2 linked regions of the Arabidopsis thaliana genome follow. The protein of the gene in region 1 interacts with the protein of each later gene in a pairwise test. Each region holds a gene or a part of one and is shown in the gene's direction. Other genes may lie near its edges.

Region 1 (9,674 bases):
AATTGGAATGTGGCGACTTGGTTCTTCTCTGGTATGGCAGTGGACTTGAAGTTCATTATGAGAAGTTCTTTCCTCCGTTTGTTGTCCTTCGATGCTTTGTGCATTGGCTGGATTGGATTTTTGGTTGTTCTTGGGTTCTTTGTTGTGATGCGGCTTGGTTTACATCGCGAGAACCTTGTTAAAGAGTTTCAAGGTTCATTAGAGACGGCGGTTTCGTCTAGGAGGGTTAGATAGGAGAGGGTTCAGTTGACCCCATGACTTTTATATTTTTTTTATTTTTTAAGGTTATTCGATTTTTTCCGGCCAAAAAAAAACATTTCCCCAAAAAATTTCAAAAGAGCGGGTCAGAATCTAATTCTTAAAATATGAAACCCCGCACGTATGTGCGGGTCAGAATCTAGTTATATTATTATCAAAAGAACTATAATTGTAGGATTTATAGCAATAGTTATATGTTTCTTAGTCCTCTTTTATTAAGCAAATGTAATAGCAAAGAATATTTTTAAAAATCAGCAATGAAATTTTTTTGAGTTAAATAAAGAATCATATTATAATATACTTACATTAATATATGACTTCCATAAAAAATATTTGTGGCTCCGCCACTGCTAGTGGGTGTTCTCAAACCTGTCTGAGTTGCTTTTGATGTGTCATGCTCTGGATTGGTAGCCAGAGGCAGTTTCTTTGGTTGTTCATTGGTGCTCACATGTCGTCGGTTCCGTTTTTACATTTAGTTTCTGGAGAAGCTGAAGTGTCCTTTTGCTATGAGGTTTGAGGACTGATTCACATAGGATATGCTGGTGGTTCTCGTTTGTGTTTTTTGTTTTATCATTTTTTCATAGTTTTTGATTTTTTTGTTTTAATTTCTTTTCGTTTTTCATGTATATTTTGCAACAAATCTAAATTTAGTATAAATCTACATATACATTTTTGCAGCCATTTTGTGAACTAAATCGTGTAGTTGGAATTTATTTACAATTGCTGCCACTAAATTTTAATGTTTGTTTTTGATAATTAGAGAAAAAATATTCGAATTAAATATTTGACATTTAACAATCTTCCCAAAATCTCTCCCAATTAACTACACGATTAGTTACTAAAATAAAACTTCCAAAATATTTAATATCATTTAATTACTATAAAATTTTTTCTTTTGATATTGCTTTTCTGCATGACTATAACAATTCGATTATAATCGTCAAACCGCAAAGATATTTGATAGCATTTAATTACTACAAAATTACAAAATATTTAGACAATGATTCATAAACATATCATAAATAAGATCAATATTAATAAAATATATTTGTTTTTTTTACGAGACGGGTTGACGGGACAGATTTGACAGGACGTTACTTAATAACAATTGTAAACTATAAAATAAAAATATTTTATAGATAGATACACTTTGCAAACTTTTATATATGCTACCTTTATAAAATAAATTGTTCCTGCGGTGTACCGCGGGTTAAAATCTAGTACTTAATAAATTAAACAAGAAAAGAAAAATATCTAGTCATTATGTGTGAATCTTACGCCACGAATAATTAATAATTAGTTTTTTTTTTTTTTCGTCAGTTTCATTAAACCCATAAAAGGGATACATGGTGAAAAGGATCCCAAGTACAGAAAGCCCAATTAACCCAATATAGCTATTACAATCAAAATAGACGAACACGTATGGGTAAAAGGGACATGTGTATGTGACACGTGTGTAACATCTGCTGAAGGTGGAAGAAGACGCAACCGACTCATTCCTAGCGTTTCCACCGGGCTGAAACTCCGATCAAATCCACCGAACTCTGCTAATCAAATCATCGTTTGCCATCCAAGGATTTTACCAGAATTCAGTTAAAACTCCAATCACCAATTCTCTGCCTTTGCTAAATTCTCTGAGTGAAAAGAAACAGGAATCCGAGTCATCAGATCTATGAACTGCTGGAACATACGACATGGCGAGAGGTCAGATCAGTCGCAAAACACGCTCTTCTGAACTGTTCTACGCCGGCCATCAAGTCCCACTCATCACAATTCACAATCTTAAAGAGAAACCTTCATCATTAGCCGATTACGGTCCATTAGGGGTATGAAGGATTTATTCTCCCCTTGACCAGAATTGAGAAACTGATGATTCTTGAGATTCTGAATTAAGCACTCAGCTTCTAATTCTTCTTCTCCAAAAGAAATCTAAGATCTGCAAAAGGAGAGAAAAACAAAACAAAAAACTAGCCATAGTGGCTAAGATAGACTCGCACTTGGGCGAGAATAGACAAAACCGGATTTCACCGGAAACAAAATCCGACAAAACATCGTCGGAAATAAAGGAAAACACTTTTCTCTCTCTGAAAGATTGTTGTGAGAGAAGAGAGAGAAAATAATTGATTTGATTCTAATGATTTTTTTTTGTGAAGATTAATTAATAATTAGTTATATGTTTATTTTTAGAAAAGCAGATTATCTCCAACAAATATGAAAATTGATTGGGTATAATATGCAGATGTGCATATTTATCTAACTCAGCACTAGTATTTTTGTTTTTATTTATGTGTTTTCAATTTTCATTAAGAAATAAACTTAAAAATCCGGTTAAATTATTATATATTTTTAGTCAGTTCTCTATTCTGAAGATTTTTATTTTATTTTATTGTATTATATTTTTTGTTTGATAAATAAAAACTCATAAACATTTTTGAAATTAATAATTCAGTAACAAATCTGTTTTTTTTTGGCCACATAGTAACAAATCTAAATAATCTTCGACCTTACATCACAAATTCACAACGGTAGTTGAAGACAGTTTAATAGTAAATACGAAAGTTTGTACCAAAGAATCTATTACAATTACTTGGAACTTGGAAGATTTAGTTTCAAGATTTTTAAGTTTTAATTATTAAACTAAGGGACAGTTGTACCCAAAAGATAAAATATCTCTGTCACCTCCAACAACAAGTCTTTATTCTCAAAGATTTGTTTTGTGACGCGTCGGCACAAGTTATGCCGCATAACTATCATAAATTATTTTATTAACAAAAATTTATGTTATGTTCGTAATTTAATTATACAAGAGAATATAATCACAACTAAAATATTCTACTTCTGATTTTCTTATTAATAAATATATTTACTCGGAACATCTTTTTGTAAGAAATTGGTTAACTTTACAAATGCGCACATTAAACCTATTTTCGAAATGTTGAAAGAAAAAATAAATTAACTTAATTTGCATTTGGAAATTAAATCAATTATGGAAAAACCGATGATTCGACGAATCAAACAGAACCGCGTCAAGCAATGCCTCTCAAATCAATCGTGTTCTTAACGTGAGAGAGAGCCCCATTGTTTCTCAAACACGATCGAGAATAAACATTACAACAACAACAACAGAAAAAAAAAACAGAGAGTTAAAAAAAAAAAGAACCAGACATAATGTTGTGTTTCAGATCTCAAAGAGTGTTTATACTTGTGTCTCTGTGTTTACTCTCTTCGTTTCTTGTGGTCGTCACTGGAACAACATCGATTACTGGTAAGACTTAGATTTTTCAAAAGTTGTTTCTCCATTTTTTTAATAGTTATAAGATTTTTCAATTTGTGTTTGATTGATTCAGGGGTTGGTAACGAAGAAGAAAGAGGTGTAGAAGAAGAATGGAGAACAAGTGTAATAGAAAGAGTAATTGCAGAGGAAAGTGGAGAGAACTCATCTCTGATTTTAGCTGCAAAGAGAACAAGAAGAAAAGATCCTGCTGATAATTTCAAACTCTACACTGGTGGATGGAATATAAGCAATTCCCATTATTTGACTGTGAGTCTTTTATTTCTGTGGTCCAAAAATGTTTTTTTTTTGTTGTTGTGTGAAATCTCTCTCCTTACCAGGTGGGTATTGCTTCATTTGACTTGGGTTCTTCTTAGATTCCTAAATTTTGATTAAAGTTATAATCTTTACCATCAAAAGTCTAGTGGAGTTTTGACTGTTTTAACTTTTAAGGTGTAGTTATGATGCTCATGATGAATTAATCAATAGCATAGGATTCACAACTAGTTGGTGCTTGGTTTACTTGACTTGGGTTCTTCTTATATTCCTAAATATTGATTAAAGTTATAATCTTTACCATCAAAAGTATGGCTAAATGGAGTTTGACTGTTTTAACTTTTAAGGTGTAGTTATGCTCATGATGAATTAATCAGTGGATTAGGATTCATAACTAGTTGGTGCTTGGTTTACTTGACTTGGGTTCTTCTTATATTCCTATATTTTGATTAAAGTTTTCATCTTTACCATTAAAACTATGGCTAACTGTAGTTAAATTTTAATTAAAGTTTTGATTCTATGACTAAGTGTAGTTAGGGTGTTTGGTTTATTTGACTTTGATTCTTATATTCCTGAATTTTGAACTTTAAAAGTTTTGATCTTTATCATTTTGTAATATTCACTCTGGATTAATCAATGGAAATTTGGATTAGCTCTATGACTAGCCTTGTTACTTGAATCAGTTTTATTATGCTTATATAGATGAAAGATGTTTGATACCAATTGATATTTTTGATGAGTCTTTTGTATGGTATTGGTGACATACTAATCAATCTCTATCATTCTTTGCTTGTGGTGCAGTCTGTTGGTTATACAGCGGCGCCTTTCATTATAATAGCACTAGTCTGGTTTGTGTTCTTTGGGCTATCATTGTCTCTGATTTGCCTTTGTTATTGCTGCTGTGCCCGTCAATCTTATGGTTATTCCCGGGTTGCTTATGCTCTATCCCTTATCCTCCTCATCTCGTTCACAATCGCAGCAATGTAATTCTCACGAGCTATTCTATTCGTCATCGTTGTTTCTTGCTGGATATTTATGTATCTTGTGTTTGATATTCCAGTATAGGATGTGTTTTTCTTTACACTGGTCAAGGGAAATTTCATGCTAGCACAACCGATACTTTGGACTATGTCGTGAGTCAAGCGAATCTCACGTCAGAAAACCTCAGGAATGTGTCAGATTATCTTAATGCAGCTAAGAAGGTTGATGTGCAATCCAGCATTTTGCCACAAGATGTTCTCTCGAGTATCGACAACATACAGGGAAAGATAAACTCGTCCGCCACAACTCTTTCTGTGAAAACAATGGAGAACCAAGACAAGATACAAAATGTCTTGGACATCATGTAAATATTCTGTACCATATCTTTATCTTTCATCTGTTTTTCACCTTTTTGCTTATGATTTTTTGTCTCTAATTGTTGTAGGAGACTTGCTCTCGTCATCATCGCTGCTGTGATGCTTTTCCTTGCGTTTATCGGATTTCGTAAGTCTTCATGTTATATGCATTAGCAAATTCTTTAACTTGCAGAACTTAACTTGCATTATTCTCATACAGTTCTCTCTATTTTTGGACTGCAATGCCTTGTATATACGTAAGTGAAGTCTCATTTTCTTATGTTCTGTTTTACATTGGTTCCACTATATGCTGAAAAGTTTGTTGTGATTATCAATGGACAGGTTGGTGATCCTTGGTTGGATTCTCGTCACGGTTACCTTCGTCTTATGTGGTGGATTTTTACTTCTACACAAGTGAGTTCTCTTCTCTCACTACCATTATTTGTCTACTCAATAATTGATAGCTTTCTTCAAAGAAAAAAATGGCTTCTGCTTTGTCAGCGTTGTAGGGGATACGTGTGTTGCGATGGACCAATGGGTCCAAAACCCAACAGCTCACACGGCTCTAGACGATATTCTACCGTGTGTTGATAATGCAACCGCGAGAGAAACATTGACTCGGACTAAGCTTGTAACATACCAGTTGGTCAATCTTCTTGACAATGCCATTAGCAACATGACCAACAGGAATTTCCCGCCTCAATTCCGGCCTCTTTATTACAACCAGTCAGGTCCACTAATGCCTCTACTCTGTAACCCCTTCAACGCTGATCTCTCTGACCGCCAATGCCAGCCTGGTCAGGTCCATCTGAACAATGCAACCGAGGTAATCCGAGGATTCCATCATAATATGATATATAAATTCCCAAGTCATATCAGTCTGTCTTATGATTTGTTTTTATGCAGGTGTGGAAGAACTTCACTTGCCAAATTGTAACACCGGGAACATGTAGTACACCGGGACGGTTGACACCAAAGCTTTACAGCCAGATGGCTGCAGCGGTTAATGTAAGCTATGGTTTGTACAAGTACGGACCGTTCTTGGCAGACCTACAAGGGTGTGACTTCGTGAGGTCTACATTCACTGATATAGAGAGGGATCATTGTCCGGGACTTAAGAGATACACACAATGGATCTATGTGGGTCTTGTGGTGGTGTCTGCTTCTGTAATGTCATCTTTGGTGTTTTGGGTTATATATGCGAGAGAGAGGAGGCACCGGGTTTACACAAAAGACTACAACGCTATGCACTCTGAAGATCCACGAAGCAAGGGCCACTGAGAGATTATGTTCTTTTGGAGGTTTACCCTGTACATTATGGTGTGAGAATTTGGTTACCTTCTGTGTAGTGAATGATGGAAAGAATCTTTGATTGTTTTTACATGTTTTGGGAAGTACTTTGAAATGAGATATATATTAATTTGTGGAGCTACAAGATTCTTAATATTGTTCGAACTCGCTGTCTGACAAATATTTTGTGGGATTTTGACATCACTATCTCCGATGCATGTCGCTATTCTTTTCCTCTGAGTTGATTTTTCTCCAATGTATTCTTCTAATTTTTTTCTCTGTTTTAAAGGCATACATTATTGCATCTCCAACCCATCTCTATTTTTTCTCTTATTTTTTTTTTTAAAATCATTTCCAATGTATATCTCTATATTTTACTCTAAAAAGAATATTCTTAGAAATATTCTATTTTTATTTTATATACTAATACCTTTTAATTATATAATTTACAATTTGATCCATATATTATAGATTTGCAAAATTTCCATAAAATATTATATTATTTTAAATTAAACACTAATTATTTATTAAAAAAATATTACATCATATAACAAGAATAAAACATTACAAATTTTTTTAAAATAATACCATTAAAATATTTTTCTCACATATGATCAACTAAAACATTTTAACTATCTTGGCAGATCTACACGCAATTTACCAGACTATTAAATTACTACTTGTATGTTTTAGTTTTCTTATGTTGTTTATTTTAAATTTAGTACTTGTTTGCTTGTTAAGTTTATAAAACTATGTGTTGTAATTGTTGTGTGTAAAATGATTATATGTATTAAATAAAAAAGTTTAAATTTGAGGGACTAAAGTATAAAAAAAAAATTGAATTCAAAAATAAAGTAGAGAATAGAGTTGCTCTATATAGACCAAATCTGCAGAATTCTCTATTTTAAAATCAATTATAGAGTAGGGTTGGAAATTTTTTTTGCATTTTTACTCTAAGATAGAGTAGGTTAGAGATACCCTAACAAATAGAAATCTTTATTTTTAAGAAACTATTGGAGTAAAAAATTGAGATTTCTATTTTTTTCTATATTTAGAAGAAAAATAAAAACAACCATTGAGATGGTCTTAGAGCAAAATGCCTCTACAATAAAGTCATCGTTAAAATGGAGAAAAGAATATAGATGTTCATTGAAGATGTTCAAAGAACGGTCGACTTACATATTAGATTGATAATGTTTATTACTCGAACTAAGGCTACACCGACGACATGATGTAACGTTGTTGGGTATAGTAGCATCAAATCTTTTCCCTTGACATTTGAAAAAATTTACGTGTTTAGTTATGCTATTTTTTTAATCATGGATTATTAATTCTTTATAACAAGCATGTCATCTCATCGATAGATGATTTATCTTCTTTTTCTTTTGTGAAAGCTTGATTAAAAATAAGAGAGAACAAACTCTAGTAAAGGAGGAGGTGTTGCAAGACTGTAAAGCCGACTTTGCTAACGTGTCTGGCTCCACATTAAAGCTTTTAGAAAATTTAAATATTTTAACTTTTTTTACTATATATTTTATAATAATTGAAAATAATTTAAATATAAAAATAAATAAAAATAAATAATAAATCATATATTTATATTTAAATTAGATATATAGGATTTAAGAAATTAGACAAATTTTTTATATTAGTACAAACTGATAATATTTAACCCGCAAAACATCGCAGAACGATTGATTGTTTTTAAAATCATAAATGTACAATTGTAAATCTTTTTAAAATCGTAATTGCAATTGTAAGTCTGAGATTAGTTTTTTACATACTCATAATATTGAGAATTGTTATGAAAACATTTATGTCTTCTTACATCCATTACAATTCTCAATAACCCTTTATTTTTATTGAGGTGTCACATGTACACAACACCCTTAATAGACCTTCTTTCGAACACATGCCCAATGAACAAACGCCCAGCCCACCATGATTTCTTCTTCTCCTTCTCCGATACACCAAGGATGGTTTGTAAACACAAAACACATCAATCACCAGAGTATACCTTCCAGTAGCAAATAGAAAAACTCCCAAAGATTCACTCCATCAACCATAATTTTCTTATATTGGTAAGTATTCCTTCCCAAATTCCTTTAATTTTAAACTTTTGTTTGTTTTGCGCAATGATTGATAGTATGATTTAAACGATGAATCGATGGACATTATGGTGATTAAGATATTTTTAAAATTTTGAAGTGACGTCGTAGTTATGCTAGGGAAGAACTGTTTCGCTATATAGCCAGTGATCGGAGGCATGGTGTGCAATTACCAACCATCGCTACCGATTATTTGTGAGTCTCTAAGATCCACGATTAACTCTTCATCGGGCTTTCTTGTCTCGCTATTGATGTCCAGGCATTGTAAGCTCTCGTGACTATGCCATGTTCATATGTTTACTATTTTCCTCTGTCAAAATTTAGGGCTTCATATTTTGTTTCACTACAAGAAATTTGTTCATTTTTAGCGCTAAAAATCTGCTATCTTACATTATTTATAGCAAATTCATAAACGCCATGTTCTCGGCAGCTATGGTAGGTGTCACTCCTACGATAGCAGTTTTGGAAACGCTATTATATTTAATGATATAATAGCAAAATTAGAACGCTGTTTTAAATAGTAATATAGCACTTTAATTTTTTGCTAAAAACTAACGACGATTTTAATTTCGTGTCATAATAGGTTATTCTATGTTAGCAATTAGTTCACGTTGCGAACAGTTTTTTTTTTGCATTACGTTTGATGCTATGATATATGATTCTTCTACCATAACATTAAATAATTGCTGAGTTTTGTTTATTTATGCGGTTTAGTGATGCTGTAATACAATTGTTCACAACCTGTTTGTTTTTGTTATTATCTGAATTTCCAGAACCCAATATAGAGGAAAAAAAGTCTGAATAGAAATTTAATCTTAAGTCTGAATCAAATCCAACATAGAGAAAAAATTCATACAAATCATTCAACATAACATAAGTCTAAATCATAAGTCTAGTCTAACATAATCAAAGTAGACAACAAGTCTGATTCTGAATTACATAACACAAGTTGATTAGTCTAGTCTAAAACTACTTTAAACTAGCTAACCTGGACCAAAGTGTCTTCATTCCCTGCAATAATCAACAATGTTTCATTTCAGTTTCATATATAAAACCAAAGTACAAGGATCACTGTAATATAGAAACTTACCCCAATTTATTCTTAAACTCAATAGATGACCATCTTATCCATTC
Region 2 (9,022 bases), on another chromosome or scaffold:
TTCGCAAGTGAACCGACTGTATTACAGCTTAAAGCTCCTATCAAAATATTTGGTGATCTGCATGGGCAGTTTGGGGATCTTATGCGCCTTTTTGATGAATATGGTTCACCATCTACAGCTGGAGACATATCGTAAGTGCATCACTAAAACTTGTGACATCAGTGGCCCTACTTCTTGCTACTTTTTGCTGGACATTGCTCATTTTGTTGTTTAATTGTCAGATATATCGACTACCTCTTCTTAGGGGACTATGTTGATCGGGGTCAACACAGTCTAGAAACAATCTCCCTTCTACTTGCACTAAAGGTAGTCCTAAGTGTATTATGTCAGTTTTGCCTTGATGCAGGTGTTCTAGTTGCTTTTGACCATAGAAGGTTTGACGTTCTATTTTTGGTACTGCAGGTTGAGTACCAGCATAATGTACACTTAATTCGGGGAAACCATGAAGCTGCAGATATCAATGCCCTTTTTGGCTTCCGGATAGAGTGTATTGAGCGAATGGTAATGTAATCTGCTTCTGAATCTCTTGTTTCCATGTTTATTTGTCTCATGTTGTGGTTGCTTTGTAGGGTGAACGTGATGGAATCTGGGTGTGGCACCGAATAAATCGTTTATTCAATTGGCTACCTCTTGCTGCATCGATTGAGAAGAAAATTATCTGTATGCATGGGGGTATTGGTCGTTCTATAAATCATGTGGAGCAGATAGAAAATATTCAACGTCCAATTACAATGGAAGCTGGCTCCATTGTTCTTATGGATTTATTATGGTTAGTCCTTAGCTTCTATATGTTGGTCTGCTTAATGTTTTGGTCGAGTCTTACTAATTTGTTAATTTGGATTTGTTAGGTCGGATCCAACTGAAAATGACAGTGTCGAAGGTTTAAGGCCCAATGCTAGAGGCCCTGGATTGGTTACTTTTGGGGTAAGTAATTTTCTTGTGTTTTAATTTTATGTTGTCTGAATTTCGTTTTTCCTCCCTTCAGAAAACCAATAATCTCTTTCTTTTCTCACAATATTTATTCTGTGCAATGAGGTGCTGCTATTGTTAGACCAAGAATATATGATATTTTTTTCTTGAAACCAAGGAATATAGTCTAGTTTGCTCCCAATAATTTACCATATGAAGAAGTGTTAATTGCTTTTGCTTTTCATTTTTACCTGTTCTGTTACTCACCAAAACTTGGCAATTGTAGCCTGACCGTGTCATGGAGTTCTGCAACAACAACGATCTTCAGTTGATTGTACGAGCACACGAATGCGTAATGGATGGATTTGAGCGTTTTGCTCAGGGGCATTTGATAACGCTCTTTTCTGCTACAAACTATTGTGGTATGTACATGGACTCACTAAGTGCCATAACCGGATTTTGATATTTTGATGGGGTTATTTCTGTTTTCTTAATAGTTTTTATACTAAATCTCAGGTACTGCAAACAATGCTGGGGCTATCTTGGTACTAGGGAGAGATCTTGTAGTGGTACCTAAGCTCATTCATCCGTTACCTCCAGCACTTTCATCGCCTGAAACTTCACCAGAAAGACATATAGAAGACACATGGATGCAGGTTCATATTGCTTCATTTCATTACTGAATCTTAGTCCATAGTTATTGACCTGAAACATTGGTACTTAGCGTAGTATGCACTTTTCGCAGGAGCTGAACGCAAATAGGCCAGCGACGCCAACCCGAGGACGCCCACAAAATTCAAATGACCGAGGAGGTTCTCTGGCTTGGATGTGAGGCAGATAAAGAGGCACTCGTGCACATACATACCGCTCCAAAAAACACTTGTAACATCTGCCTCCTGGTGTTCCTCATGTGTACAGAAAAAGATGAGCCATAGACGAGAAACGATGAGGCTTGAAGATATCAGGGGGTGTGTAAATTAAGATGTTAAAAGGTTAGAGAAGTCAGTTTTGGTGGTGGTTTAGTAGTGATTTGTAGAGTTTATTTGTCCGGGCTTTAGTCCTCTCGTTCATTTTTATTCAGTCTGCTGTTTCTTCTTTTTTTTTATCATGTCATATCTTTCTTTTTTCCTCTTCAATTGTCTCCGTTGTTTTCGTTTGTGGTATAGTTTTTTGGCGAGTGGGTATGAATTCTTAGAATGGTAATGGTTGATTAGGTGGAGGATGGTCTGATGTCGTGGGGGGGGGGGGCTTTTGTGTATTTTAATTTTATTGTCAGTTCATACTTTGTAACATTTGTGTTGATTATATGATACGAAAAATTTTCCTGGCTCCTTTTGGTTGTCTAAGCTAGACCAAAAAAGAAGAGAAAAGAAAGAACTTATGCCCTTGAAAGCGACTTTGAGTTGGTTCATGGATCCTCGGGTGATGGACTCAGTCACTCGATTTGCTTGAGATTCATAAATTTATACATGTGCTTTGTGGCCTTCAAATGAAACACTGGTGATGTCGATATGATGTGATTTGGCATCGATGCTGTCATTGGCTCCAAAAAATCATGTTTTAGCGGTGAGAACAAAAAAAACAAAATTTTTGGAGGATCAGATGGTTGAAGTTAAAACTCGAGGGTATTAGATGGTTAAATTTTAATATTGTTTTGGATATAGGATGGTGATTAAAAAAAAAAAGTTTTGATTAGTGTTGGTGCAGGAATTAGCATCTCCGATAATACCAATTTAAACCAAGGAATAACGTGAATAAAATCGAGAATTCGATTGAACCGGGGTATCCCGGCTAGTCTGTTAATGGGCCTAAGTCATGAGCTCGCCAGAAGATTTAGGTCGACAGTCAAGATCGCCATAGGCGGCTTCTCAGGTCGTGTAAAGGGAAAACTTCCATTTAAGAGAAGAGGATCTCATGAAGAATAGAAGTAATGAAGATTTAGACCTAAGATAATTAGAAGTTTATCATATTTTGGTATGTTGGACCCATTGTATAAATAGGGGGGGGGGGTCAAGCCCTCTAAGAGGATCATGACCAACCTAAGACAAGAGACTACTATTACAGAGCAAACTCTAGCTTTTTATTCAAGCAACTTTGTTCTTCTCCTTTGATTATTCGTGAGCTAAGAGAGAAGTGAATTTGTCTAAATCCCTTAGTACAAATTAATTGTTTGATTAGAGAATCAACAATTAGTTTTGAACCTGATGATGTATTGGTCAAACTTGTAATCATCGCATCTGAGTTTGAGGTCATTTTTTCCAACTGTTGTTATACATATAAAATATCCAAAGAATAAAAGCCTTGTACGATCGGGGTATTGGGGTCCGTACCAACTTGTTGACATTTTTTATGTTTTTGGTGTGTGGCAGACTAGATTGAAACAATAATGACTAAGCAACTCAGTAAGAGTCCTTTTTTTGGACTCAGTAAAAGAGTCCAAGTTTTCTTTGAACAACAAAATTTTGTTGAGGTGTGTATGCACTTGGTTGGGAACAAACAAGTAGATGGCAAAGATCATTCGAACATTGGAGCCCAAGTGTTGAGGGCACTAATCTTGTCGATTACAGAAACGAAATTATTTGGGGAAGCTGCAAGAAAAAGTTTAGTTAAATCTTTTATATTCCTTAATCAAAATGTATCATGCATACACTATATACAATTCACTAAAGTATGATAGTTAAATACCTAATTAATATCATGATCAACTCCTACCGGTTCATCTAACTAATCCAGCTCAGCATAAAAACCCTCACGCGTCGCTCCAATTAAGGGGAGGGCTTAACTAGTGCCCAACTTACTGGGCTAGGTTCGACTCCGTTTTTTTATTACATTTTCCTTTTCCATTTCTTTAAGACTTTAACCCTGAAATCTCGAAGTGCAACGCACCACTAATTTTTTATAAATATTAACATAACATTTCATGAGTCCTAAACAAGAGTCTCTCTTGGTCTTTATAAATACATCGATCCATGTACATAAAAACAACAAGTCATCTTTTCTTTCTATCTGAAAGTAATCAGAGAATCAGAAAACACTTGAGAGAGCTGAGTGACCATCAAAAGGTGTTATGGAGAAAGTGAGAGAGATAGTGAGAGAAGGGATTAGAGTAGGGAATGAAGACCCGAGAAGAATTATTCATGCTTTCAAAGTGGGACTTGCTCTTGTTTTGGTCTCTTCCTTCTATTATTACCAACCTTTCGGTCCTTTCACCGATTACTTCGGTATCAATGCAATGTGGGCTGTCATGACCGTCGTTGTTGTCTTTGAATTCTCCGTAGGTTCGTCATCTAGTTTCTATCATTTGAATATGTCTAGTAGATATATCTAGGGAGAATGCAAGAATTTTTGTTGTAAACTTTTGGCCATAATATTAAATAACTTTGGTTTGATGTGTACTTAGGGGCTACACTTGGGAAAGGACTAAATAGAGGAGTGGCAACATTAGTAGCAGGAGGACTAGGAATTGGAGCTCATCAACTAGCAAGATTGTCGGGTGCAACAGTGGAACCTATTCTTTTGGTCATGTTGGTCTTTGTGCAAGGTAAACCCTTATAACACTCTTTACATTTTCAGATTACCATGCGTTTCCAAGCGTTTGGTCAATCATTGTTTGGCTAAAGACTAGATCAAAGAAGATTGGGCAATGAGTAATTAGTATTGTGATATATGTGCAGCTGCGTTGTCGACGTTCGTAAGGTTTTTCCCATGGGTAAAGACAAAGTTCGATTATGGGATATTGATATTCATATTGACGTTCGCGCTGATATCGTTGTCGGGGTTTAGAGACGAAGAGATAATGGATTTGGCAGAAAGCAGACTATCGACAGTGGTGATTGGAGGAGTCAGTTGCATCCTTATCTCTATCTTTGTCTGTCCTGTTTGGGCTGGACAAGATCTACATTCTCTCCTTGCCTCTAACTTTGACACTCTCTCCCACTTCCTTCAAGGTTTTTTATTTCTTTCTCTTTTTCTTTTCCTCATTATGTCTCTACAAGAACATAAATATATACATATACGAGATAGTGAATGTGAAATTGGCAGATTTTGGGGACGAATATTTTGAAGCGAGAGAGAAGGGGGACTACAAAGTAGTGGAGAAGAGGAAAAAGAATCTTGAGAGATATAAAAGTGTTCTTGACTCCAAAAGCGATGAAGAAGCTTTGGTGGGCTACTCTCTCTCTTTCTTTCCCTACTTGCTTCACAATTATGAAATCATTTGGATTGATTTTGTTTTGATATTTTGCGTTTAGGCTAATTACGCAGAATGGGAACCGCCTCATGGACAATTTAGGTTTAGGCATCCATGGAAACAATATGTTGCCGTTGGTGCATTACTCCGGCAGTGTGCCTACAGGATTGATGCCTTGAATTCATACATCAACTCAGATTTTCAGGTAATCGCTAACTTTTTGTTAGGTGTTTGCATATTTAATTAAAACAAAATTTGAAAATACATAAAAGAAGAAAAACTAATATGCTATTATGCTATAACTATTTTTGATCTAATACAATATATATATCTATATATATATATATATATATATTTACATGTCGCAAATGCAAACACAAAAATAACATCAGGTTGAAATTCTTAGTCTGTTAATTTGTTTATATAGTTTTTTTTTTTAGTGTAAACATGTATAGTAGTATATGTTTCTGGTTAACGTGTTTCTAACCCTTTGTTTATTTCTTATTTTTTCTATTAGATCCCAGTGGACATAAAAAAGAAATTAGAAACACCATTAAGAAGAATGAGCTCGGAATCGGGAAACTCAATGAAAGAAATGTCCATTTCACTAAAACAAATGATAAAATCATCTTCTTCTGATATCCATGTCTCAAACTCACAAGCTGCATGCAAATCTCTTTCTACTTTACTTAAATCAGGCATCTTGAACGATGTTGAGCCTCTTCAAATGATCTCATTGATGACGACTGTCTCCATGCTCATAGATATTGTTAACTTAACCGAAAAGATCTCGGAATCTGTACACGAGCTTGCATCCGCTGCAAGATTTAAGAACAAGATGAGGCCGACCGTGCTATACGAGAAGTCGGATTCCGGAAGCATTGGTCGTGCCATGCCAATAGATTCTCATGAAGATCATCATGTTGTCACAGTTTTACATGACGTTGATAATGATAGATCAAACAATGTTGATGATTCACGTGGAGGGAGTTCACAGGACTCATGTCATCATGTTGCCATAAAGATTGTTGATGATAACTCAAACCATGAAAAACATGAAGATGGTGAAATACATGTACATACATTAAGTAATGGGCATCTTCAGTAAGTAATTCAACTCATTATTTGAGGAGCAGTCTTTTGTACCCGCAAGATTATAGAGACGAGACCATCGGTATATAACATATTCGGGTATTTCATTCAGATTTGAAGTTTGTTACAAATACTATTGTCGCCTTTGATCATTTTTGAACTATTGGTCACACATTTAATAAAGTCTTGGTCTTCGTTTTCCTTTGCGTTACTCTTTTAAAGATTTTTATATCCAACTGATCAAAAAATTTAAAAATAGCATGGTTTTATTTTTGGATTATGGTGTTTTAGAGAGCTAACCTCAGTAAATAAAAGAACATAGACCGGCGCCAGATAAAGACAAGTCCGGCAAAAACTCTAGATTGTTATTTTCTATGAATATAATTAATTTTATTCCAAACATATATCGTATGAAAAAAAAAATCATTTATCATTGGAGGAGGCGGTGATCAGGCGCAGTGAGAGGAGGAGTCGGTTAACAAAAGTGGTCTTGGCCAGTGCCAAAGCGTCATTGTAATCGCTTTCAATTCTCAAAACCAATACGGTAATATGCACAACTAATAGAATGTTTCAGGTGACAAATTTTCTCACTAAAGTCAAACTTTCATACTTGCCGATGAAGTAACAAACATACAGTACGTTCAATACATTAAGGATATATATAAGAAACAAAAGCTGGAAATTGTGTGAATTTAGCTAGGTTAGATTATAGTATAATAAAGTTGCCTTGTACGATTGGGGTAATGGCTAATGGATTCCGTACGTTGATGCCAACTTGGTATTGGCAAGGCTGAGTGTGACTCGGTGCAAAAAGCACCAGCTGCTATCTAATTCCGCGTTCTAACCAATACTACATTTTCATTTATTATTACTTTTTACAATCCATAAATCTCTCTGCTGTGGAGGGTTGATATAAGATCCGAAACTTCTTTGTTGATAAAAAAAAATCTAACAATCTTCCAAGTTCAAATCTCACTCAGGAAATATGAATGACTGAATATTTAATTAGATATTATCGAAATTGTGATTCTTGTTGACAAAAAAAAACAAATCTCATAAGAAGTGGTGATGTCAGTTTTCGTTGAGAGAAAGAGAATTTAAGTGGATATGTTCAATATACAAAAAAAAAAAAAAAAAAAAAATTGGACAATTTGGTCGAATATTAATAAGGTAGGTCTAAATATTAGTGAAAGTAACATATGTGAATGCCCAAAACGGACGGATATTTTACTAGCTTTGAAACAAAGAAACGATGGGACAAAATGACAAATTGAATGTCTATTTATTTGGAGTTTGTCATGATTATTCATGTCAAAAACGCAAACTATTATTAATAGACTGTTTATTTTATTATTTTCTTACACTCGCCGAAAATGTTCAGAATCGGAAATAATTAGATGTAACGTTCCTGTAAAAAATGCATTGAGTTTTAATTTTATTTTATTTTCTTAAAGATAAAAAATTTCTGTTAAATGAAAAATGAAAGAGTTGTGAATTACGTTTTTTTTTTTAATATTGATTATAAATGTACAGCTAGCAACTTTAAAAATGGTTAGAAAACAAATGTTGGATAGCACTATTTTATTTTTACATAAAGAAAATCTTTTGGACGTGGAATTTTAATAGAAATTTCGGAAATAAATTAAGAGAACAATACTAAAGTATGCTACTAATAGCCGCTTTTAAATATCGGATAAATCAGCACCAAAGTAGAACTTGGTTACGTAAGTACTAGTCTCTGCCTCTAATTAAAAATACTCTGTCTCCAGTTAATTATATTTCTCATTTTCAATTTCTTTAACCCTCAACGTACGATATGAAGTACAACGCACCACTGATTTTTTTCTTAAAATAATAAAATAACATTTCACGAGTCCCGAACAGGACTCTCTAGTCTCATAATGCTCATTATAAATAACGACGATCCATCCGCTCAAAACAACAAGTCATCTTTCTACTTCTTCCTCTCTTTCTGAAACTTATCAGAAAGTTGAGTGATAATCAAAGGGTGTAATGGAGAAAGTGAGAGAGATTGTGAGAGAAGGGAGGAGAGTAGGTAAAGAAGATCCGAGAAGAGTAGTGCATGCTTTCAAAGTGGGACTTGCTCTTGCTTTGGTCTCTTCCTTCTATTATTATCAACCTCTCTACGACAACTTCGGTGTCAATGCAATGTGGGCTGTCATGACCGTCGTTGTTGTTTTTGAATTCTCTGTAGGTCAGTATTCGTCATGTGATCAGAATCAGCCACTTTCTACCATTTGAATATGTCTAATATTCAGCGATAAACATTTTGTAGATTTTTCTGTATAAATTTGGCTACAAAAGGTTGTTTAACTTTTGTTTGGTGTGTAATTAGGGGCCACACTTGGGAAAGGACTAAATAGAGCAGTGGCAACATTGGTAGCAGGAGGACTAGGGATTGGAGCTCATCACCTAGCAAGTTTGTCGGGTCCAACAGTAGAACCCATTCTTCTTGCCATCTTTGTCTTTGTCCTAGGTAACCCTCATAACACTCATATTTTTTTATTTTTTTTATATGAAATTTTGATGATTTGGTCCATATAACCTTTTCGGACGGGGGCTAGAGCGAAGAGTCTAGAAAACATGCATATATGCATACATTTGTCTCGAATTAAAGAGCGAAGACTAACAATATATATATATATGCAGCTGCATTGTCGACGTTCGTGAGGTTCTTCCCGCGGGTGAAGGCAAGATATGATTATGGGGTATTGATATTCATATTGACGTTCGCACTGATATCAGTTTCGGGGTTTAGAGAGGACGAGATATTGGATTTGGCGCATAAGAGACTATCGACAGTGATAATGG

What was found.
Region 2: the proteins of AT2G12400 (region 1) and ALMT1 interact in a protein complementation assay, tested with the Arabidopsis thaliana proteins (one large-scale study listed by BioGRID).

The regions. Positions count from the first base shown.
Region 1 is NC_003071.7:5,001,893-5,011,566, reverse strand, and holds AT2G12400 (plasma membrane fusion protein), read left to right. Parts: upstream 1-3,124; 5' UTR 3,125-3,426; coding exon 3,427-3,523; intron 3,524-3,605; coding exon 3,606-3,799; intron 3,800-4,606; coding exon 4,607-4,788; intron 4,789-4,865; coding exon 4,866-5,150; intron 5,151-5,231; coding exon 5,232-5,290; intron 5,291-5,362; coding exon 5,363-5,399; intron 5,400-5,484; coding exon 5,485-5,556; intron 5,557-5,643; coding exon 5,644-5,968; intron 5,969-6,048; coding exon 6,049-6,423; 3' UTR 6,424-6,683; downstream 6,684-9,674. Other genes in the region: AT2G12405 (uncharacterized protein), read left to right, coding at 1-225, 674-775.
Region 2 is NC_003070.9:2,654,824-2,663,845, forward strand, and holds ALMT1 (aluminum-activated malate transporter 1), read left to right. Parts: upstream 1-3,778; 5' UTR 3,779-3,976; coding exon 3,977-4,187; intron 4,188-4,309; coding exon 4,310-4,450; intron 4,451-4,583; coding exon 4,584-4,856; intron 4,857-4,950; coding exon 4,951-5,072; intron 5,073-5,159; coding exon 5,160-5,303; intron 5,304-5,615; coding exon 5,616-6,206; 3' UTR 6,207-6,487; downstream 6,488-9,022. Other genes in the region: BSL2 (BRI1 suppressor 1 (BSU1)-like 2), read left to right, coding at 1-131, 222-306, 403-501, 570-769, 849-924, 1,196-1,331, 1,426-1,565, 1,655-1,741; AT1G08440 (aluminum activated malate transporter family protein), read left to right, coding at 8,204-8,405, 8,547-8,687, 8,861-9,022. UniProt on the Arabidopsis thaliana protein: Malate transporter critical for aluminum tolerance. The STOP1 transcription factor is required for ALMT1 expression.